Linked DNA regions of Drosophila melanogaster. The protein of the gene in region 2 interacts with the protein of the main gene of each other region in a pairwise test. Each region holds a gene or a part of one and is shown on either strand. Other genes may lie near its edges.

Evidence for each region.
Region 1: the proteins of CG3491 (region 2) and trr interact in a two-hybrid assay, tested with the Drosophila melanogaster proteins (one large-scale study listed by BioGRID).
Region 3: the proteins of CG3491 (region 2) and CG31835 interact in a two-hybrid assay, tested with the Drosophila melanogaster proteins (one large-scale study listed by BioGRID).

Annotation. Positions count from the first base shown.
Region 1 is NC_004354.4:1,885,844-1,892,825, reverse strand, and holds the start of trr (trithorax-related), read left to right. Parts: upstream 1-2,875; 5' UTR 2,876-3,050; coding exon 3,051-6,982. Other genes in the region: arm (armadillo), read left to right, coding at 707-996; mRpL16 (mitochondrial ribosomal protein L16), read right to left, coding at 1,597-2,213, 2,283-2,348, 2,431-2,479. UniProt on the Drosophila melanogaster protein: Histone methyltransferase that acts as a coactivator for the ecdysone receptor during development. Specifically trimethylates 'Lys-4' of histone H3, a specific tag for epigenetic transcriptional activation.
Region 2 is NT_033779.5:14,921,818-14,931,779, reverse strand, and holds CG3491 (uncharacterized protein), read right to left. Parts: upstream 7,191-9,962; 5' UTR 7,046-7,190; coding exon 3,361-7,045; intron 3,301-3,360; coding exon 2,121-3,300; intron 2,065-2,120; coding exon 1,524-2,064; 3' UTR 1,215-1,523; downstream 1-1,214. Other genes in the region: side-II (sidestep II), read left to right, coding at 8,701-8,831, 9,683-9,842.
Region 3 is NT_033779.5:14,733,093-14,739,084, forward strand, and holds CG31835 (uncharacterized protein), read left to right. Parts: upstream 1-2,750; 5' UTR 2,751-2,858; coding exon 2,859-3,908; 3' UTR 3,909-3,975; downstream 3,976-5,992. Other genes in the region: CG31775 (uncharacterized protein), read right to left, coding at 4,302-4,559, 4,627-4,638.

The DNA.
Region 1 (6,982 bases), on a different chromosome or scaffold from region 2:
TTGAAGATTTTTGCACTACACACACACACGAACACCGATCTACCACAAATAACCACAGAGTGCAACCTTAAAAAATAAGGATCGTGAATAGTAAAGAAACACATACGTTTCTTTGATAATTTCGCAAATTTATTGTTTTGTATAAATCTATTTTGTTTCCTTTCATTAGACGGCTTTTATCTTTAAGGTCTCCCTCCATGAAGGAGCAGTAATAAACTTTATTTCGGTTCATACTGCATGTCACGTAGCCTGCGATAATCGCATAGTTTTAGCCACCCACAATCCATATATTTTATGGTGTATATACTCGTATCTAGTTTGTAAGCCGTGTGTGCATGCAAGTTTCAGAGGACGAATTCCAATCGACAATAACGCGTCCATGTCGTGTCGTATTTTAGACGTATTTAGTTCTTTTTAAGCAGTATTCAACGACAGATTTTTGTTGTTTGATACTCTAGGTTAATGTTAAAGGGTCGTCGTGTACGAGTGGAGTCTGCATTTCGTTTGAATCGGCATAAATCCAATAAGTGTGTTGGAAAGATGCATTTTAGATGAGTTCCCGATTAAAGCGAGCAGCAGTGAATCCACTTTTGCAGGACTTCAAGGTGTCGCACCATCTGCCAGTTGACGGCTGGCGGAGATTGTAAATCCTCTCCACTAATCACAATATTCCCTATCATTCTTTGCCCATCTCGTTTGTTCACAGGATATGATACTCTACCAATAGATTCGATGCAGGGTCTGGAGATCAGCAGCCCAGTGGGCGGCGGCGGTGCTGGCGGTGCTCCCGGCAATGGTGGAGCTGTAGGCGGAGCTAGCGGCGGCGGTGGTAACATCGGCGCCATTCCGCCTAGCGGCGCACCAACTTCGCCCTATTCCATGGACATGGACGTTGGCGAGATTGATGCCGGTGCATTGAACTTTGACTTGGACGCCATGCCGACGCCACCCAATGACAACAACAACCTGGCTGCCTGGTACGATACCGATTGTTAGACAAGCCGAGCTAAGGGTAAGGGTCGAGTATCCATTCGACCCCATAACATAAAACACACGAATTCCCATCCCTGCACAATAGCCCTCTTCCACCGGCTTTGATTCCATCCCGGATCCCGGAATCGCGATCACCGAAACTTGACTAGATCAACGAAGGTGTGGATTTTACTTGACAAATACGAGGAGCTGCGGCAGGTCAAAGTTCTGCTTCCAGAACTGAAGTCCGTGGGAGAAGGCTATTTGCTCACACACCATACCCCGCGACAAAGCATACACACACGCATACATGCATAATATTATACATTTATTATAATGCGAACGAAACGGCAAGAAAAACATATTATATGATGCATTACATATTACCCACGTAAACGAAATGGAAAATTAAACAAATGTTTGCAATAGAACTCGTACATTTCCCTTCATATGGCGTTTTTCTTATTTGCTCCACAATTGGGTGCCGCAGAGTCACGGCTTGGAACAACGAGCCCTAAGTTCGAAGTTCGAACCTACTTTAAGATATTTCCAGTTTTCAAAAGTACTTGAAACAGTTTCGTAACAGATTAACGAAGGATGGCTTTATTAATTGAAGCTATACATCTACAGGTGCTTGCCGAACCACTTGTGGTCCACGGGCGAGAGCCAACGGTGGCAGCCGCTGAGGTTGTTCTGGATCACGTACTTCATGGTAAAGGGGTTCTCATTCTGGCGGGTCTGTTCCTCCTCGGCGACGCGCTGTTCGTCGAGCATCTCCTGGGAAACGACGGTGGCCTGGAAGGGCAGCTGGTTGGCCACCTGCTGCAGGAACTGCTTGACCTCAACGAACTCGCACTTGCCGGCTATCTCGACAATGACGCGACCGGCCTTGATGGGGGTCACGTAGTGGTCGATGGCTCCCTTTCCGCCGCCCATCCGTTGGCCCTGGCCCTTCTTAGTGATCGGCTGCCAGGGTGCGGGAACGCGCCATGTGGCGAACATAGTGTTGACGTTCATCTTGCGTCCGATGGTCAAACGCATCATTTCGTAGTGGCCCCAGCGCAGGCGCCCTCCGCCAGTGGCCACGATTGCGTACTGCTTATGGAGCAGCGTGTTGTGCACCATCTCCGGACCGCGCATGTATCGCAGGCGCTTCTGCATCTTTGGCGGACGGATGTTTGGCGGCAGCTGGGGCTGGCGCTCAATGACCCTCAGCTTGGGTCTCTCCGGCTGCTCCACATCTGGGGGTTCCCACATTCATTCATTTATTGCTCTAAATTCATTGTGCACATTTAAATGCAACTACTTACTCTGGTATTTAATAGGCGGAGCGAAATACTTAAGACCGGCTGTGTTGACAATTGCCATGTTGCCCGCTGCAAAGAAAAGTTTAAGTGGTTTGTTGCAAACTGTTATCGGATTGGATGTGGCTAGGCAGGAAGCGCCACTGCAACTTACACGCAAGGCTTTGCTTAAAGAGCTGGGAGACTAACTTTAATGAGAGCATGGTGAGTTTATGTCAAAATATATTACTTATTTATAAAATTGTATTGTGCAAAGATGTGTTGCATCAACGGCCACCGTTGCCAGATCGAGCTAATAAATGTGGTGCTAAAAACATATATCGATAGACCACCGATTGGTCGAGTGAGCTGACGGCCCTGTCCAGACTATGGTTTATTCTTGCAGTTGAAAATGTGCCATATTGCACGTGGAACACAATAATTATGTTATGTATTAAAAACTTCTGAAGTTAACGAAAAATGATTGCTGTACAAACGTTATTCGATTGCAACCGCCATGGCGATATGTTGAAATGGGATGGGAAAAGTGGTGGGTTTCTGAGTGGAAAACCAGGGATGGGTAAGAACGTTTCAGGGTAATGGTCGTTTTACCATCTGGTAACACTGCTCTGCATACACGAAAATAAAATTTTTTTGACTAATCGTGCATGTTTTCGCTCGGTAAAAAAAAAAGCAGGCCGCGCGAGCCCTAGCTAGCTAGACCGCCGCCCTTCCCGTCCCACGAAACGCAGCGCATCGCATCCGGCGTTCCGCGTTTCCACTTGTGTGTTTGTTATGAATATACCGAAGGTGACAACATCGCTTGGTGCCGCCGAAAAGGCGAAACCCGAAAGAGTAGCATCCGTGGCCGCCGCTGCCTTCAATGCGGTCAGCCTGCAGAAGCGCAGCGGCGACGACACCGCCACTCCGGCGGAGGATCCCACGCGCAAGAAGGCCAAGACGGAGCTGCTTCTCGGAACTGGAACGGCAGCGCCCAGTTTGCCCGCCAAAGCGTCGAGCACCGCGCCGCAGCAGCTCCTCTACCAGCGGAGTGGACAGCAGGCTAAGGCGCAGGTAAAAGCTGCGTCGGAGCCGCAGGATGTCGAGACGGCGGACGGCGTCTGGGACGCCCGCGATCAGCAGATCATAGTGTGCAACTTCGGCTCCGGCACTGAGATGGGTGCCATCAAGGCGGAGGACGCTGACAAGCAGAGTGAGTACAGAATCAGCACTCCAAGGAACAGTCAATCTAACCCTTTGCTACACCGAAACACAGCCTTTACCAGCTTTACCAAAAAGGAGGGTGCCTCATCGTCGGCCTCGTCATCATCGTCAACCGCGTCCGTCATTTCCATCGAGCCCAGTGGCTCGGGGCAGGATCATGCTGAAAACTCCGGCAAATCTGAGGACCTCGACTACGTACTGATGCCAGCCAGCGGCGCGGATAGCTCTACATCTGTGGGTAACTCCACCGGAACGGGAACACCAGCAGGAACGCCTATTGGAGCTACTACCTCCACCATTATTTTAAACGCTAACAACGGAACGGCAGGAGTCAGTGGAGCCGGCACCACTACAATCCTCACACAGAAATCCGGTCACACGAACTACAACATCTTCAATACCACGGCCACTGGTAGCCAAACGCCCACTACAACATTGTTAAACCGGGTGAATCTTCACCCCAAGATGAAAACCCAGCTGATGGTTAACGCCAAGAAGCTGTCGGAAGTAACGCAGACCACGGCGAAAGTGTCGATTGGCAACAAGACTATATCGGTGCCGCTGCTCAAGCCGCTGATGAGCGCTAGTGGAGCGGCCACAGCCGGAGGAGCCACGATTGTAGAGAGCAAGCAACTGCTGCAGCCGGGCGGTCAGGTGACTACCGTAATGAGTGCTGCGCAGCAAAGCGGTGGTCAGCAGGTCCACCCGCACGTCCATTCTCATGCACATCACAACTTTACCAAACTTATCAAACGCGGGCCAAAAAATAGCGGCACCATTGTCTCGTTTTCGGGGCTACAGATCAAGCCGGCGAACACCAAAATTGTGGCCACCAAGGTGGTGAGCAAAAAGATGCTGCAACTTCAGCAGCACCAACAACAGATCCAACAGCAGCAGCAGCTTCAGCAGCTGCAGGTGACCAGTGGTGGAGGCCTGGCTCCGCCCACAGGCAGCATAGTGACTATCACCACCACCAACCCCAGCCAAACGTACGCAATGGTTCAGGATTCCGCAACTGTGGGACCTGCGGCCCATTCGGAAGACGATGCGCCAGCGCCTCGAAAGATTACAGCCTACTCGGAGAACCTTCAAAAAATTCTCAACAAGAGCAAGTCCCAGGAATCGACTGGAGGCCCGGAGGAGTTCACCAACATCAACAGCGTGGTGATTAAGCCGCTCGACAAGAATACACTCAATTGTCCACCCAGCTTTAACATCTTTAAGCAGCAGCAGCACTCACAGGCTGCTCAAAGCCAATCAATCTCCGCGGTAGGCAGTGGAGCAGGCACACCCGTGACGTTTACCATGGCTTCGGGGAATGCCTCAGATCTGGCCACCACCTCCACCGTTTCCGTTTCGGCGGGGACCATCTGCATAAACAGTCCGATGATGGGCACGCGGCCAATAATCTCCATTCAGAACAAGAACATATCCCTGGTGCTGTCCAAGACGACCATGGCCCAGCAAAAACCGAAGATGATAACTACAACCACGTTGTCCAGTCAGGCGGCGCTGCAGATGCATCATGCTTTGATTCAGGATTCTAGTGCAGACAAGGCGGGATCTTCTGCAAACTCCGGATCAGCTACCTCGGGAGCTTCAATGCAGCTGAAACTAACGACCGCCAATACGCCCACCAAACTCAGCGTTAGTCTGGCTCCGGACGTAGTCAAGCTGGAAGAAGTTGGCAGCGAATCTAAAGCAAAGCTACTGGTCAAACAGGAGGCGGTTGTGAAGGATAGCACTGGTACTCCGACCAGTGAGGAGCGGGCTGAGGAGATCGGCACGCCGGAGAAGCGTTTGAACGCCAATGCCACAATGACGGCTATTAACCAGGTTCAAAATCAGTCCGCCAATCAAATTCAAATGGCCACATCTACCTCAACTGCCTCGAATCCCAGCACACCCAATCCTACAGTGAACGCCACACCTATGAACAACCAACGCTCGGCAGCGGAGGATAATGCACTTCTAAAGCAACTGCTCCAAAACAACAGCAGCAGTCATAGCCTCAACCAGATAAGCATCACTTCGGCTCACGTTGGTTCCGCCTCAGCTTCGGCACCTCTTTCCGCCCGCAAGGTTATCAACGTACGGGCGCCCAGCATGGGGAAGGTCAGAAGTTTGGAGGATCAACTGGCACGTCCGGTGATTCCTCCGGTGCCCACTGCCACGCAGGCGGCAGGTAGTAGTAGTAGCAGTGGATCTGTGGCCACGTCCACCACCACCACAACAGTAGCTAGCGGAGGAAGCAGCCAACAGGTAGCCACCGCCTCAGCGACGGCTCTACCTGTTAGTGCGGTCGCAATTACCACACCAGGAGTGGGAGGGGAGGCAAAGCTGGAGCAGAAATCCGATCAGCCAGCAGCAATTATGCAGAATCAGAGCCAAAACCAGGCGCCTCCACCACCACCGCCACCACAGCAGCAGCAGCAGCAGCAACTACACCAGCCGCAGCAGCTGCAACCGTCACCCCACCAAGTCAAGCAGACTGTGCAGATTGTGTCGAAGGAGACGTCGTTCATCTCAGGACCCGTTGCTGCTAAAACACTAGTGACGGAAGCCACTTCGAAGCCGGCTGAACTACTACCTCCTCCGCCTTACGAAATGGCCACTGCTCCTATATCGAACGTCACCATATCCATATCCACCAAACAAGCGGCTCCGAAGGAACTGCAGATGAAGCCCAAGGCGGTAGCTATGTCACTACCCATGGAGCAGGGCGACGAATCGCTGCCAGAGCAAGCGGAGCCGCCGCTTCATTCGGAACAGGGAGCTACTGCAGCGGGAGTTGCACCTCACTCCGGAGGTCCCCTTGTGTCTGCGCAATGGACCAATAACCATTTAGAAGGAGGTGTAGCCACCACAAAGATACCGTTCAAGCCTGGAGAGCCTCAAAAACGCAAGCTCCCCATGCACCCACAACTGGACGAAAAGCAGATCCAGCAACAGGCAGAGATTCCCATAAGCACCTCCCTACCAACAACTCCGACTGGACAAGGTACTCCCGACAAAGTACAGCTGATCTCAGCGATTGCCACTTATGTAAAGAAATCCGGTGTCCCGAACGAGGCACAACCCATCCAGAACCAGAGCCAGGGCCAGGTGCAGATGCAGGCGCAAATGCAGGCGACTATGCAAGGACACCTGTCTGGGCAGATGTCCGGACAAATCTCCGGACATGCCGCTGGACAGATACCCGCTCAAATGCATTTGCAAGTACAGCATCAGCTCCATATGGCAGTTCATCCACAGCAGCAGCAGCAGCAACTGCACCAGAACCAACCACAGAATGCGACGATTCCCCTTCCAGTTACTGGACAGGGTGCAGTGCCCATCCCCGTGCCCACCATGGAGAGCAAGGCAGGCGACCAAAGGAAGCGCCGCAAACGTGAGGTCCAGAAGCCGAGGCGCACAAATCTGAACGCCGGACAAGCGGGTGGAGCTCTTAAGGATCTAACAGGTCCACTACCGGCAGGTGCAATGGTCCAACTGGCAGGAAT
Region 2 (9,962 bases):
TGTTCCCCATTTTATTTTTCCTGTTTCCAAGGGCATCACGTAATAGCGTTTCTTTGCTTTTCATTTCTTAAAATATGAATATTTTCTTTACTTCAATCTGAAAGAGGTTGCCACGCCTCCGCTGAACAGTTTCGCTTACGCCCAAAAGAAAAAAGTACGTTTGTGTGTTTTTGCGTTTGGCTGTGTGTATAGGCGTAATATGATTATATTTTTTATGCCCCACACATACTTTGCAGGCTCATATTTTATGTTTTAGAATATTATTTTTTATTTGTTTGTTTTTGCTCACGTTATAGCAATTGACGGTGCTTTGTACCGTCCTTACGGTGTTGTGTTTGTTGCTACGTTGGCGCAAATAAACTTTATGATCGGCACGTAGCCACATACACATAAATGTGCGCCCAAATGTTTGTGTTTTTAAAAAAATTCTTCTGTTGGGGCAGGCTTGCGAAGTTCTTTTAAACTTGCTTATTTATTTAAGACTTTGATGTCCTACAGAAAAGAAATCAAATTATGATCAGATTAGAGCTTACAATCATTCAAGACCAATAACATGGGTTTACTTAAAAAAAAAGGATTAGGAAAACTGAAATTTGCAAATATTGTTGGCTATAACTTCATTAGAGATCCTTACATACCCTTATGGCCAGATAAATAACAGTTTGTTCTTATTTAGATAACAACTGAATTTATATGCCTCGGCATCTTTATGTCTTTGTTGTTGTTGCCAGTGCTGTTGGAATACGATATCTGCATCACGCGTGAGTTATTATGCCAACTGCGTTTTGGCTCCTTAGGCACGACATTTGCCAAGGCCATTTGGTCATGGTTTATGCCACGCGTTGCCCATCTCATGCGCCACAATCCTTCCCTCCCCTTTGTATAATTTTGTTTATATCTCGCATGTGTGGCAGGGTGCAAGCGACTGGGTCGTTTTAAAATTTATAATGTAACCGAGCGGGGCAGCCTTAGTTGGTCTCCTAGCAATGGCAACAAGACAAAACATGGAATGCAATCACAGACATCCCCCAAAGAGCGCAGGATTGGAAAAGAAAGAGCACTGCGGTTAAATAAAGTAACAAGTTTCATTTCATTCATAATTATTAATTTAAATTAAATTTAAGCCATTCTACTGGCTGTGATTGACAACCCCTTCCAATTACCTTTGCAATTTACATAATACAATATATTAAAAAACAAGACGATTTTTTTTTGGGTAGCTTTATTTTTTTTTTAGTGTATGCGAAGCTCACTCCGCAGCGCAGCAGACAATACATATGAATCACATACGCACGCAGACGAGCTGTAAGTGTCTTCCCGTATGTGCTTCTGTGGCCATTGTTTATTGCCGGGAACATGGGCGTGCTGCTCCTCCTGGGTGGAGCTGGTGGAGCGTGCTTGGCATTTTGAAAAAGCGAAAGCTTACGCCACATGTATTGCATTGAATGCTACAATTTCGGTTGATATTTTTAAAGTGGCAATAGAAGTGCTGTGCGCTTCGCCGTACACTGGGCGGTGTCATTTTAATGGCTCTCCACGAGGGAATCCGTGGACAAATCGGCCACCAGGTCATCGTAGACGGCAGGCGGTACCACCGTACCCACTATCTTCTTGTTTGCATCGGTCTTCATGCGTATGATCTGGATCTTGTGTCCGCTATTTACGATAATGAGTTCGATCCGGTCCCAAATCGGTAGCATTAACCCGGAGAGCACGTGATAGGTACGCATTCGGAGTCCTACTTCACAGCCCGTCGGCATTGGACAGGTCCGATTCCAGTAGAGGTGTGAGCACATATTCAAGCACAATTCGTACTGCTGCACCCAGTATGTTTGGGCCTCCTCCGGGCTTACCTTCACATATCGTGATGAAATGGAGGCATGTGTCTCCAATCGCACTTGGGGACCTGTATTGGGTCGGTAGATTTGCAAATTGATCTTTCCGTTTGATACATCCGATGAATTGGACGGTGCCTGCAGGCATAAAATTGCGGAGTTCTTGTTTTGGCGCCGCTTTTGTAGAATATAGAAGCCTTCGTGCTCGTATTGGCCCTCCTTTCGGTATCTATGGGAGTTTATAAGTTAGTTAAATACACTTAACCCATATAAATTTCAACTCACTTGGCTAGGGCTGTCTCAAAGGACATACCACGTTCCACTGTCACCGTATGAAGTTCGGTGGCCGCCGTTCCTGTGGCGTGCTTCCTAATGAACCTCATCAGCTTGATGGATTTTACACTTGCTCCATGGGCATCCAGATCTAAAATCCCCAAATCGAAGCGTCCTGTGCGCTTCATTTGCATGATCAGTGAGTACATCTTGTCCAGAAAGAATTTAAAAAGTGCATTTTGCACTTCCACCCGGCATCCAAGGATGCGGTTTAGAAACTTTGAGATATTATTACTATCCTTCTCCACGGTGAACACCTTGACCTTGTTCTCCTCCCGCACATTGATCATACCCACGCCGGCCATTGCCACGCAACAATCGTATATGAAGTTTCCCTTATACGATTGAGGCACTTGAGACCGGTCCAGTGGTTTATTGCTGGTCAGCTGTTGCATCACATTCTCAAGGGCACTGCGCCCGATGCTATTATCGATATTGAACTGGGAGAGATCACGGGCATCGGTGGCACGACGATCGCCTTGGGTAAGGGCTCCTAAGCTCTCCAGTCTCTTGGCCACCGTGGATGCAAATCGACGCTCACCAGCCAGATCGGTGATCACAAATACATATTCCGGTGCATTGACCTGATTGGAGCGATGGGTGCGCCCAAATTGCTGTATGGCCCGATCTGCACTCCATGGGAGTTCCAAAGTGATGTGCAGACGGCGCCGCTGATTAGAAACCCTCTTGTCACTCTGTAAAGATATTCCACTGGAGGCCGCCTCCGAGATGATGGCCACGTGCTTGCTGCCATCCATGAAGCGTTGCTTCTCCCGATAATTGACCAGGTCCATAGTGGAGTCGTTTTCACAACGTGGCTCATACTTATACCCATCGTACTCCGTTCGCACCACTCTTCCACGACGGCCTGTCATCTCGGCCACCAAATTGGTGCCACCCAGTTCAGAGATTAGTTTGTCGAGCGTGTTGGGCGGCAACTTCCTGCCCAGAACATCGATTTTCTCCAGCAGCATCTCACGCATGTTTATACAGCGTTCTACATCACGCTCCGTGATGTTTACCTTTACCTTGGTATTGTCGGAAGTGTTTGTGGATTCATCTTCGTTATCCTGTTCCCTCATATTATTGCAAAGATGCTCCAGGATGCGCTCCTGCATGGTAATCTTCTCCACTGGTTAAGGGATTAAAATGATTAATATTTATTCAAAATAAACCACTTAGATCAACATACCTTTGTCCGCCTTGGGCGGTCGTCCTCGCCGCTTTTGTCCAGACTTAATCTTCTCAACAGCCGCAGTACAGCTTCTCTCGTACATCTCGATGTCGCTTTCGCCCGCCTCGGCATCCATATCATCTTCAACCCAATCGGTATTCATTTTTGACTTCTTCTGTTTGGGTGGGCGGGAACGTGCCTCCGGCTCAAACTCACCCGTATTTAGTAAATGATGAAACGAGTCGCGTTTAGGAGCTGGGAAGTGCTTTTCCACAAACGACTGAATGATCATCTTTGCGGTGGACACAAAGCTGTTAAGCTTTCCATGATGACGTTCTAGATGCTCCAGGGTACGCGACTCCCCAGTAGATTGAAGGCCAATGACCACCGCCTTTCCCATTCGTGTCGCCTGCCGCGTCATCTTGACCACGTGATTCACTTTGGAGGCAATGCACAGGTTCTTGAAGAAACGCTGATGGGCGCACCAGAACTGACAGGTTATAATCTTCTGCACCCTATTCTCGACGCACATTAGGCGACACGCCTTCTGGAACTTCTTGTGTATGTCAGCCCAGAGTTCGGCAGACAAATTATAGCTCTTGCGAAATTCCTTCGACATGTTCACCTCCTCGATGCGAAAACTCACATCCTTGAAGCTAAGTTGACGTGCTATGTAAGTACCTCTTAGCTTCATGTCCATGGCAACGATTTCCATGGCTCCTATGCCGCGCTTCTCCACGGCGTTAACAAATTCGTAGAATTCTGGATAGGCGGTACCTGGACCCCACAGGCCCAATCTCACCATATAGGCCATATTCCGGGGCTCACTTGCTCCCGTGGCTGAAGCATAGACCACTCTGGCGTTTGGCAACAGTTTCTGTAGATCCAGAACAGTCGTTCCCGTCTTGGTGGACTTACCCACATTCATCAGGCTTAGGTTCTTGGCCTTGTGGCACTCATCAAAGACGATCACTCCTTCGAACTTTTTGCCCAGCCAATTGGTCAACTGGCGAAAACGAGTCTTGTACTTCGAGTTGGTCGTCATTGATTCTCCAATTAAAGCTGTGTAAGTGCAAAATATCACGCCGCGCTTGAAATTTTCATTTTCTTCGGAATCAATGGGGCTGTATTTAAACTTGTTGATTGTCGCTACACGGATCTTTTCGTGGGCTCCTATATCGGCTAGATCCCGCTCTGCATCGAACTTGAGGTCACTGGAGACCGAGACCCAAAGGGCACGTTTCCGCCCTTTCAGGTAGTTATCGAAAATAATGCCGGCAATGGTGCGGCCTTTGCCCACACCAGCCCCATCGCCCAGCAGAAATCCAGCGCGATCTCCGCTTGGCAGGATCTGCTCGTGAGCCTGACAGGCATAGACCACTGCCTCCAGCTGCAGGGCACTCAAACATTCGGTGGTCTTCGAGGGCAGGGCCAACTGATAGTTTATATTGGGCAGCTCAACGGATGACAGAGTGGCCGTTTCCACCACGGGATCGGGATGGGCTCTTCCAAACTTCAGTTTGCTGGGCCAGTAAGCTGCAAAGGTGTCGGCCACCCCTATTTCCTCATAGTCAACCTCCTCATCTTCGACCGCTTGTTCAGATGGAAATCCTGCATCTTTGGTCTGTAACGTTTCCTGTAGCACGGCACCTGGAACTCCAGAGTTAGTCATGGGCAAGGACAGGTAGGGATGTCCACTTTGTAATAACATATTCAGTTGCTGGGCCGTAAAGCTTTCTAATTCGGTGGCCTTCACTGTTGGCTGACCCATTGCCATCGTTGATGGCAGCAATTGCACATTGGTAATTAGTCCATCCAGACCGGTGGTAAATTTGACGGATACATCCTCACCCTGATCAACCTTAAGTCGCGTGACTATCGGCACTTGTGGCAAGGCGTGATGCTGAGTTGAAGCAAGCGGATTATTAGCCATCTGAACAACGCTAGACATTCCTGTATCCATGGTTTTGTTGGCCATACAATAGGCTGGTGCTGGAGGAATGGCTGGTTGTGGAGGAATAGCTGGTTGTGGAGGAATGCATACCTGATTCGGTTTCGGAAAAGCTTTGTTCTCCGACAAGTTCTTGTTTGTAGGTACTGAAAAGTGTTGGTCAGTTTTACCTAATGGTTCTATATTCTCGTCAGCTGGTACCGCTACCATGGGTAGAGAATCCAGTTCCGCCTGGAGGCGTGCATCTATATCAGATTCTATTTTCTTGGGATCCGATAGCCGAGAATGTGGTCTTTCAACTGTCAGATTTGTTGGAATCTTTGCTAGTGGAGGTGGAGGTGGACATGCCAGCTCATCAGTCGTAAATAAAGAATCTAGATCAGCATTCAGGCGCCTATCAATATTGTCTTGCTCATCGTTACCATCATTGCTATTGCTATCGTGGTTAGGGCTACCGGCAGTAAAGCCAAGATCGATTAGATATTGAGAAACGTTAGAAACTTTATTAACCGTTGGCTTTTTAGCACCTTGATTACTTTCTTTTTTAGCTTCGGCCTGAGAGAGCATTTCTAAAAAACTTACAGTACGATCGGGCTTATTTTGTGCCGGGTTGTTCAGGTGATTATCTACATATTGATGTTCCTTTCTCATGTGCATTTCACGACGCCTATCTATTGTTTCTTCCTTCTGATGGGCATAGTTGATGGGCTGTTGAGAATCTGGCTTGTTAATCTGATTATACTCAGTCGAACGATAACGCGATTTTATATCTGAACTCGGCTTTTGTGTTATGTTAGCGTTTTCCGACACGACTAAATTCTGAGCCTGGCCGTACGTAGTACTGTACTCTAGTTTAGGTATTGAGTTGATTTGAGCTTTAGAACGTTTAGCCGGCGTGATATTTGTCCCTTCAGACTCCGAACGGTAACCTGAATAAAAATTCCTCTCAGACTGACGTTTTAAATATGTTTTCTCTTCGGCCTCTTCTAAATCGCTAGACTTTGAATCGAAATTCTTCTTCGGTATATTTTTTGGACTGCTCTCAGGCAACTTCGTAGTCCAGGCATTATTACGTTTTTGGCTTAAGTTTAAAGCTTGATTGTCCGAATGTGATGGTAACTCATCATAAACATTCAAAATCGATTCAATGGAGGAATTTAGTTTCTGACCTTTATATTGCTTTTCTTTATCCGTTGAAGTCCTCTGGTTATGTTTTTCCAAATTTATTTTGGAAGAAACTTCCGGTTTTTTAAAAATTGTATTTTGATCCGGTTCATCGAGATTTTCATTTTTTTGTGTACATCTGCGTCTTGATCTAGAACGGCTTTGCCGTGCAGGTGAATCCCTCTTTTGTTCATCGTCCGTATTTGACGTACTTCGCAAAAACGTTCGAAGTTGCTTGACATAATTATCTGAATCACTCGCTAACTCGTCCAAAAGTTGGGACTTGGAACCACTGACTGTCGCCTGCCGTTTTCTCTTTGTCTCCGAATCAAATTTCCCAGCGCTTTCTGTCATTAGCTGTGACTTTTGTCCTTTTTGCGAAACATTTTTGGAATTCAGATTGGTTTCACATTTCTTATTGCTGGTTGGATGTGAAACGTCGCGATTGATGGCCTCGCTTGATGCCTTCAATGTTGTCGCCCTGGAACGTGAATATGACCTTATTTTGGCGTGGACCTCTTGCTCCTCTTCGATCTCTCGAGCTCTGGCTGTTGGTCGGGCACTAGTTGTCCTTCTCTTACACGGCATTTTGCAGGATTCACAATCACAGATTTGGATAACTTGTTTTTTTTTTTTAGTTTGTAATTTTTTGTGATTTATAATTAAAACTGCCGACTTGTACTGGCGAAAGCAATCTCATCGACTGAGTAAAATTTTGCTATTTCGTGCGACTATAGTGTTTCCTAATTTCGCACAGCCTATTAAGTTGATTAAGAGGGCAGCTCAATGCCAGCTCGATAAATGCTGGCAACAAATTTATTTTTTTTAGGTTATAAAAGAGTTGCTTAGTATTTATTTTCAAATTTTAATACAAGTATTATTCAAAAAAATATGTGCATAATTGGATTGGCCCAAAAGAATGTGCTTATAATTTATGAGTGCTCAATTGATTGAATTGCTGCAACCAATTTAAATATGGTAGAAAAAGTTTCATGTCTTACGTTGCCAAAATATCTTTAATATTTGCAGCCCTGGCAAATCCCGTGTGTCAGTTGGCATAATACAACAGCCCACGGTGGCACATAAATTCTGAGCAACTTCCGCTCCGCCATCGATCGATGGTCGTTTTGGGCCAAAGAAACGAGTTTGTCGGGAGATTGCGGGGCAAGGGTATCCGTGGTGGAACGGTAAATGATAATCACAAAAATGGCCTGCAACATGTGTGCGGAAATGCGCGACGCGACTTTTCCAGCGAAAGAGTTTTCACAGCCCTTTGGGCACTTTGCCTGATTGGCAGACTCTGAGAAACGAGGGGCCTACACAAGTGGGCGGCGGTGAAATGCCACCCTTGCTGGGCAAAAGTTTTCCAGGCCATTCTAAAGTTTCCAGGCGAAGGCGGAAGGGAACTTTTTGGCTTTGGCTTGGTGTTTGGTTTTGGGTCTGGTCTTGGGTTCCGTTTTGCCCAACTCTTGACTGTCGACGTTTGGTTTTGGCCGCCAATAACTCAACAATATTAAGGTTGGCACGTGCGTCCCCTTTTTCCCGATCCTGCTCCTATTTCTTTCCCAGGTCCAGGTCCTCTTCGTGGTCTTGGTCTTGGTCCCGGTCCCAGTTCCAGTTCTGGTACTAGGTCTCCTTGTCTGGGTCCGGGTTCTTGCCGCTTTTGGTCTCTGTTTGTCGCAAAGTTTGTGGCTCGTTAAGCAAATTCAAACGACTTAAGCGGCAACACATGTTGGCAAACAGCGGTCGATGGGCGGGATGTCGTTGCCATGTCCTCATAACTCTTGGCTGATGCTTCACTTTGTTCCAGTTATTGCTCTAAATCGCTCATATTTGCAAAAACTATTAAATAAGCTTGATCATGACAGTGTGCGGGATTCTGGGCGATGACAAGACAGTTGCAAAGCTCGAAAAAGTATGGCACAACAACTTCGGGGCATGAATAATCGAAAAGATTTTGGTTGTAAGACATTGAGTTAATAGGCCTTTTACATTTTATTTCGGATTTTCTAAGGCTCATGACCTATGCAGGAAATAAATAGAAGTGCTCACAAAATGTTTCAAGGACGATTGCTACAACATGTCATTTATTTAAAAAAAGTGTGTGATAAAAAGTTTTTGTCTATACCTAAAAAGTATAGAAAGTGTATTCACGCGTTCGCAGTTAAGTTCTAGATTACCATTTCAGGTTATTATTGGATTTCCAGTGGCTAATTGTCTTCCTTCTTTGCTCCTCTTTGCAGATCCTCCCTTGGTGACGTTACGCTTGGGCTCAACTTTGACACCGGATGATATCAAGGAAGGCGACGATGTTTACTTCGAGTGTCACGTACAATCGAATCCTCAATGGCGGAAACTGTTGTGGTTGCATAATGTAGGTCGCAGTGTGTTCAAGTTGGCCAGGAGTGAGCCGGGCAGTCATACCGACCCAGGGACCCATCCATTCGGATCCGGCTCAATCCACAGCCACCGGGTGGCATCCCTGAAAGGCGTCTGCTTGGCTGGCTCCTTGCATTCGGTTCTGGTTAAGTGCCAATAACATGGCAGGTTGCGTATGCGTTGAGGTGGCTGCTCCTCCGTCAGTGGCGGCCGCCGACGATGTCCTGATGCATGGATCTGCATTTGCTCATTTCCATTCTAGTGGTTTCTTTGGCCCGGTATGGGTTGTGTGATGTATGTAGATGGGGTGGTGCCATTTTGGGTAAAATAGTTTTGGGATTTGCGGCATTGATTTTGCCGTCGCTCAACTGCAATCCGCAGTCGCTTGGCAATCACTCAGGCCAAGTTCCCATTCCACAGTCCGCAAACTACGGCCAACAACCCACTTCCTCTCCATTGGGAGGAAGTGTGTTTTGCACGAGTGTGTGGGGAATTTTTGCCTTTCGGACGCGCTTAGCGGATTTTGGCAAATTGAAATTCGAACCCGAGTGGCTTTAGAACGGATTATTGCTGGGCAGCACTATGGCTGAATAATCCATTGTTGTATTAGTTCAGTTTTGCTAATAGACTTATAGATTTCGGAGTTCTAACAACAGACTTATACGATATTGTTCAAAAGTGGTAATTACTTTGTTCTATCATTTTATCTAGGAAATACTATAGAAACCCAATTTAGAGACCATTTATAAGCATCGTAAAGTGTTTGAGAGACGCCATGTTATTGATTTAACCAATAAACTATCTCTTACAATTTTCGTTCATAATTATGTATCCATTTAATTTCAGGGTATTCATCTGGAGCACAATACATCCGCCCGCGTCATTCGCTCGAATCAGAGCCTGGTACTCCAGAAGATTACGAAACACTACGCCGGGAACTATGCGTGCAGTGCTATAAACGACGAGGGCGAGACGGTCAGCAATCAGTTGCCACTGCGGGTGAAATGTGAGTAGTCCTTGACTGGGTCCCAACGTTTCGGCAAGCCCTTTTAAACAGAAACAGTGATGCATCAGCGATTTTAAGCATAAATTTGCCAAGCGGCACTTTGTTTGAATGCATCATCTA
Region 3 (5,992 bases), 190 kb from region 2:
ACTTATTCCTATTTAGATAAAATTCATAGAATTATATATACAGCCTTTTCTTATAAATGAACTTAACTTAGGACTTAACTTGTGATTGACGGACATTCACCCACAACTAAACCACGAAATGTGTCAGCGACAATTACAAGAATCCGAAACTGTCGCACACCGGCACTTGGCCACGCCCCGCACATCCGGAGCCGCATCCGTAGTCCCATCCGTTTCCCCATCCGTACACCCAACTCCAGGCTGCACAATATCAATTATCGGGCTTCAAGTGTCGCTCAAGTGTCACGTCAAACACCAACACAAAATACGAGCAAAGAGCATCGAGCATCCAGCATTGAGTATCTAGCATCGGGAGACCCGCGAGCACACATGACAATCCAGTTTCCGCCCCGAGCATCCTGGCTGCACTTTGCAACCCATCCGGGCCCCCGAACCCATCAGGACATGCTCCTTTAACGCCTCCCCCAATACGTGTATGTAAGTAACATTTTGCGCTTTTGACTTTGATTGATTACAAAAGCAATTGAGCATATCGTCACGCTGGGGGGAGCAAAAAAAAAAAAAAATCTGAAATCGAACAAAGCAAGGCAAATGAATTAACATAAATAAAAGAGGCCAAGGAACGAATTTTCATTGACAGCTTCCGACAAAAGGAAAAGCGTAGGGCAATTAGAAGTATCCATTTTCCGTTTTCCACCTACCAATTCTAATGAGCAATGCCTTCTAATTTTCATCAAGGCTTCTGATTTTCCAAATCGCTTATGGCTGCGAGATTTCGGTGAAGCTTCTCAGACAGGCTTGCCATTAATTAGCACAATTGAAGCGGGCTTAACGACACCCTTTGCAAGGCTAATGAAAATAAAATTTCAATTACGTTTAATTGATAAACTAATCAACAAAGGTCGACAGGCAATGATTGATGGGGTTTTCTCGTTCTCTTCTTTAAATTTTCGTAGAAGTACATATTTCGTCCTCAACTAAATAGGGCTTTCAAGCCTTTTGACGCTGCTCGAGAGTTTGGAACTTAAAAAAGCACCGCCTTTGTAGCTTTACTTTTGGGCATGACCAATTTATTCTTCGTTTTTTAAACATGTCTTGTATGTTTTTACTGCTTAGATCCGTCAGCCACCAGGATATTGTGCAGAATCAGATATATTCCCTAGGACCGATTTAAACAGGACACCTTTTAAAGCAGCAGTCTCGAATAAAAACCAATGTGGAGCACTTGGAAGACTGCTTTGGCATTAGAAAGCGTACGGAGCATACGTGTGAAGAGGTGCCTTGATGTGCGGCCGTTGCAGCAGTTTGCCTTTTGCTTTACTTTTAATTACCAACTCAAATTACACGGCCAGGCAGACAGACAGACTAACAGACGGAGGAGGAACAGCTGTTTGGCTTGTTCTTGCCAAGGGACAGCCGGCGGAGAACCGCTGCAGAACCGTATCGCAATCGCAGAAGTTGCCCCAGTCCAAAGGCAACCGCAGAGCTCGACTTGCTACAGACCGACAGACCGACCGTCTGCAGACCATCGTTTGCTGCACATTTCATTACAATGCCATTGTATTCAAATCCTATTATAAAGCGTAAAACACTGGGAAAGTGGGAGAAAGGGAGGCAGTGGCGGCAGGACTCCATGTTTGCAGCACGTTTCCACTTTCGCACTTGGTAAACATAAGTTGCCCACGCACACACACACACACTCATTCTGGCGAAGAGATTGCGTTCCGTCCGCCACACTCTATAATATAATTACCAACACCAGCGCAAAAACAGGAGCTCTGCTATGCACTCCCAAAAATGTTCCAATAATTTCAAAGTTCTGAAGCTGACATCTTATTTAAACCTAATAATGAATTTGAAAATTATTTTAAAATATAAGTTCAGAATAGTTTCCTAGTTTTCCAGTCCAATGTATGCACGTCATTTTCATTTATAAGGTTCCGCAGTGTTTCAAAGGACTGAACCATGAAATAATTATTTTATATGTTATCCATTATTTATTAAACATCTTATTTTTAAGAGTGTACTGAATCCACCACAATGGTCGCCGAAAGGGGGTGGTGCAAGGGCGGAGGTGCATGAAGCCGGAAAACTTCTATTACAACTGCCGCGCACCAAGTCGGGAAAATTAAAAAGAAGAGAGCGAGATGGAGATTCAAACCGAGACAGAGACAGAAGAGTAACTAATGGCACAACAGCCACATTTAGAACCGATGTGTTCAACGCAATACCTACTAAAATAGCAATTTTTGTGGATTTTTTGGGTTTTGAATTTTATGTGTACACACACTGAAGCTGTATTACATTTGGACATATGTATAATTATAAATTCAAGCTAAATTTTCAGCTCAAGGGAAGTTTAATTTTCGATAACTGCATTCTGATTTGAGCAAATATAAAATATCCTTTGAGTTATCTTCTACTGTCAAAAGATTTAGATAAAAGATTTAGTTCCTTATCAATAATGGGGGCTTATTTCTCGTTTCATATAGGTTTGGAAAACAAATTGCATTATCGTTATTTGTCACGTAGATAGCTGTGCTCACCGGACAAAATAGTACAGTGCATGTTTATTTAACTTTTTTTTCGCTGTACTTAAGGTTCCAAAAATAAACATTTGTTTAAAAGAGGCAAAGGAAATATGTAGAAAGCTTGAGTAAGTTTGATACATTTAGGTTGAAAAATAGTTTTAAAAGTAGAATTATATGTTATTACCAAACGCCCCGAAATATTTTACATCTATGAAAATCATGTCATTGTATAGATTCGATTTGTTAAAATTTAGAACCCTTTTGCCCGTTTTTTCGACCAGAGTTTAGGTATATTCGCTAAGAACGAAGTTAGCACAAGGATCGAGGATGGGTCACCGCAACATTTGCTGCAACGGCTGTCAAATGACGATCTTCCAGGGTAGCCGCTTCCGGTGTTTGCGCTGCGTGAACTATAACCTATGTGACATATGCTACGATCATCAGATAGAAACGGAAGAGCATCGCGCCAATCATCCCATGCAATTGTTCCCTGACTCGGACGATCTGGTTCCGCTGCTTTACGGCGAAATCCCAGAGCTGGTCCACCTGTCCAATTGCTTCACCTGTCCACATTGCGGCCTACTTGCGCTCACAGCGAAGCGGTTCATCGAACATGTTTACGTTCAACATCGGGTGTCCAATGAATATGTGGTCTGCCCCATGTGCGCCGGACTGTCGGCCGCCGAACTGGTGGCCATACGCCACCTTTCCAAACATCTCCTGCACAACCACATCGATCACGCCAATTACCTAGAGCCCGACACACCGCCACTACGCCGAATATTTACCCGTAATCACATGCGCCACCACCGCCAATCGCAGTTGCAAACAACTCCGAATTCAAGGATATTCGATATATCCGTATGGCTGTCAACTGGACGTGTGAGCTCCGATCCCCAGCTCCTAAGCAACAATGATCCTCCAGAGGAGGCAGCCAATTCAGAGTCCCTGGCGTTAGGCTTGAGTTCCGGGGGGCCATTCGAACACGACGACGACAGATATGTTCTACTTCAGTGGATTGCACAGCAAAAAGTGCAGTGCCACGATACGGACGAATCTCAAAGGCTGCGGCGAACCCTCTTCGTTGAGCACTTGCTGATTTCCATGCTGTGCTGCGAGGAGTTGCAGTTGCCGGATGGAGACAGACGAATACGGGAAGGAAATGGGGAGAGTGATCTAGACCAGGAAAACCATAGCAGTCTGGTCAAGGTCATGTCAGTGATGTCACTGCCGTGGACAGGAGTTTGGCAGACCAACCAGCTAGACGGATCGGAGGGGGAAGGCGAGATACGGGCAGCCAAAAAAGATGGAGTCGATCTGGACAAGGTGCAGATCGAGGAGCACAAAAGGGTGGCTGCTGAGGAGGCCATTGATTAGGATACTCGAAATTGTATCTGTTTTTTCAATCATGTTGAATCCGCTTTTTAGTTGCGTTACATATTTCAAAGAAAAACAAAATTTTTGTGAAAATTTGGCTTATATTTATAATATGGCTTTTATATTTTGGCTTTTATTTATATTTACAATGTTTTAAGTAAAACCATTTGAACATCTGAAAGAGAAGATATTTCCCGTTGTCCCTTATGTTAAGTGTATTTATTTCTGGGCACTATTTAATAAATATAAATGAATAATAAATATAAATTTATTTTCATAAAACTCATAAATTTTCGAGAACGATAAAGTAAAAAATTCCAATTGTTTTTTTATCATAAAGGTGTCATATTTTTATTGAGGTATCTGCGTTAAGACGGTGCTATGAATTGGTTTTTACCAGCCTTGTTGCTGTTGCTGCTGCTGATCACCGAATCCACCTCCGAATCCACCTCCAAATCCTCCTTGCTGCTGCTGCTGCTGATCACCGAATCCACCTCCGAATCCACCGCCAAATCCTCCTTGCTGCTGCTGCTGATCACCAAATCCACCTCCAAATCCTCCTTGCTGCTGCTGCTGCTGATCACCGAATCCACCGCCGAATCCAAACTGAGGTAGGGCAGCGGCCGCGGCGAATAGGGCAATGAAGAGGATCTGTAACAATATTAAAATCAACTTAGTTCTTAAAGGTTTTTCTTTGAAGCGTATATGTAAAACGTACCAAAAACTTCATGGTGCTGATACTTCGGTTAGTCTTGCTAATGTGAATAAAATTTTTGGACGCCTCCGATCTTTTATACTCTCCTGCAATCTCATCATGTCGTCACGCGCCGAAGTATTATCAATGTTCTGACAAAATCAAGTACAATTAACCCAACAAAAATACGAAAAAAATTTCCAGACGTCTGGGAAATTAATATTTGAGCACTGTATCAATGCCTATGCTCAACGGGGGGAACCCTTCAACATCAATCTTATCTGGGAAGTCGAGCCTAATCTAATAAGTCCGCAACAGTTGCTAAGAAAAACTAAGGGCGACTTAGAAGAAGACGTTGTTTGAGATTACTTTAGATCATTTATGTTCCGTTTTCACGCATCACAAACGTGTTACGGCAACAAATGTTCTTGTTTGCTTTTCTGGGTTATCATTAGACTTTCGAAATGAGGAGGGATAATTAAGTATGAAATCCTTGTAATCATGGATTAATTTTTTATACATACGTATAATTATGTTATGTCTTTGAATTTTAGCGCTTAACAGGTTAGACCACTATAGTCGCATTCCTCGATTATCAGATACCCATTTCTTAGCTAATAGAAGAACTAAGATATTTACAAGACAAGACTAGATGAAATCAATGAAGAATCTAGAGTGTTGTTGGCACAGGTTCTGAAAGAATTGGAACTATTTAGAGGTCTGAATCTCATTCAGTTCATACAGACAGGCTTACAGACAGATGGCCAAACGAATACGGCTAGATAGACTCCGCTGGTGATGCTGGTGAAGAATATATATATTCTGTATAGGTAAAGGTTCGGCAACGCCTTCTTCGAACTCCCACAGACTTTTTAAAGAATTTGGTATACTCAATTACTCCACAAGTACCGTCTATAAAAACATAGAAATTATGTGTCTTAAAAAATTGTATTTATTAAACTAATAAGACTAGTTTATTTCTTTACATCCTTTTTTTTAAAGAAATATTATTTGTATTTTTTTTCGCTGTGTTTGGTTACATTCAAAAACATTTAAAATTTTCCAAACCAATTGTACTTTTTTTGAGAGCAAATTCAGCCTAAAAGAATACTGTTAAGCTTGTGAATTTAAATGCAGCGCTAAAAAGTCTTCGCCGTTTCTTATACTTTTTTTTTAGTGGCAATTGAAAAGCTTTTAATCGGTATATAGCTAATCAGCTCCAAAATAAGCAAAACAAATTAACAAGAAGAAAGATCAGGCTAAAGGTCCTCAACCCCTGATCAGAAATCAGCTCTGTTAATGCAGTGCTAGAATTTTGCTACCTCATCGCAGACGCTTAATCTAATAATCACAGCTTGGGGTATATAGATTTCGATAGGAAATAATAAGC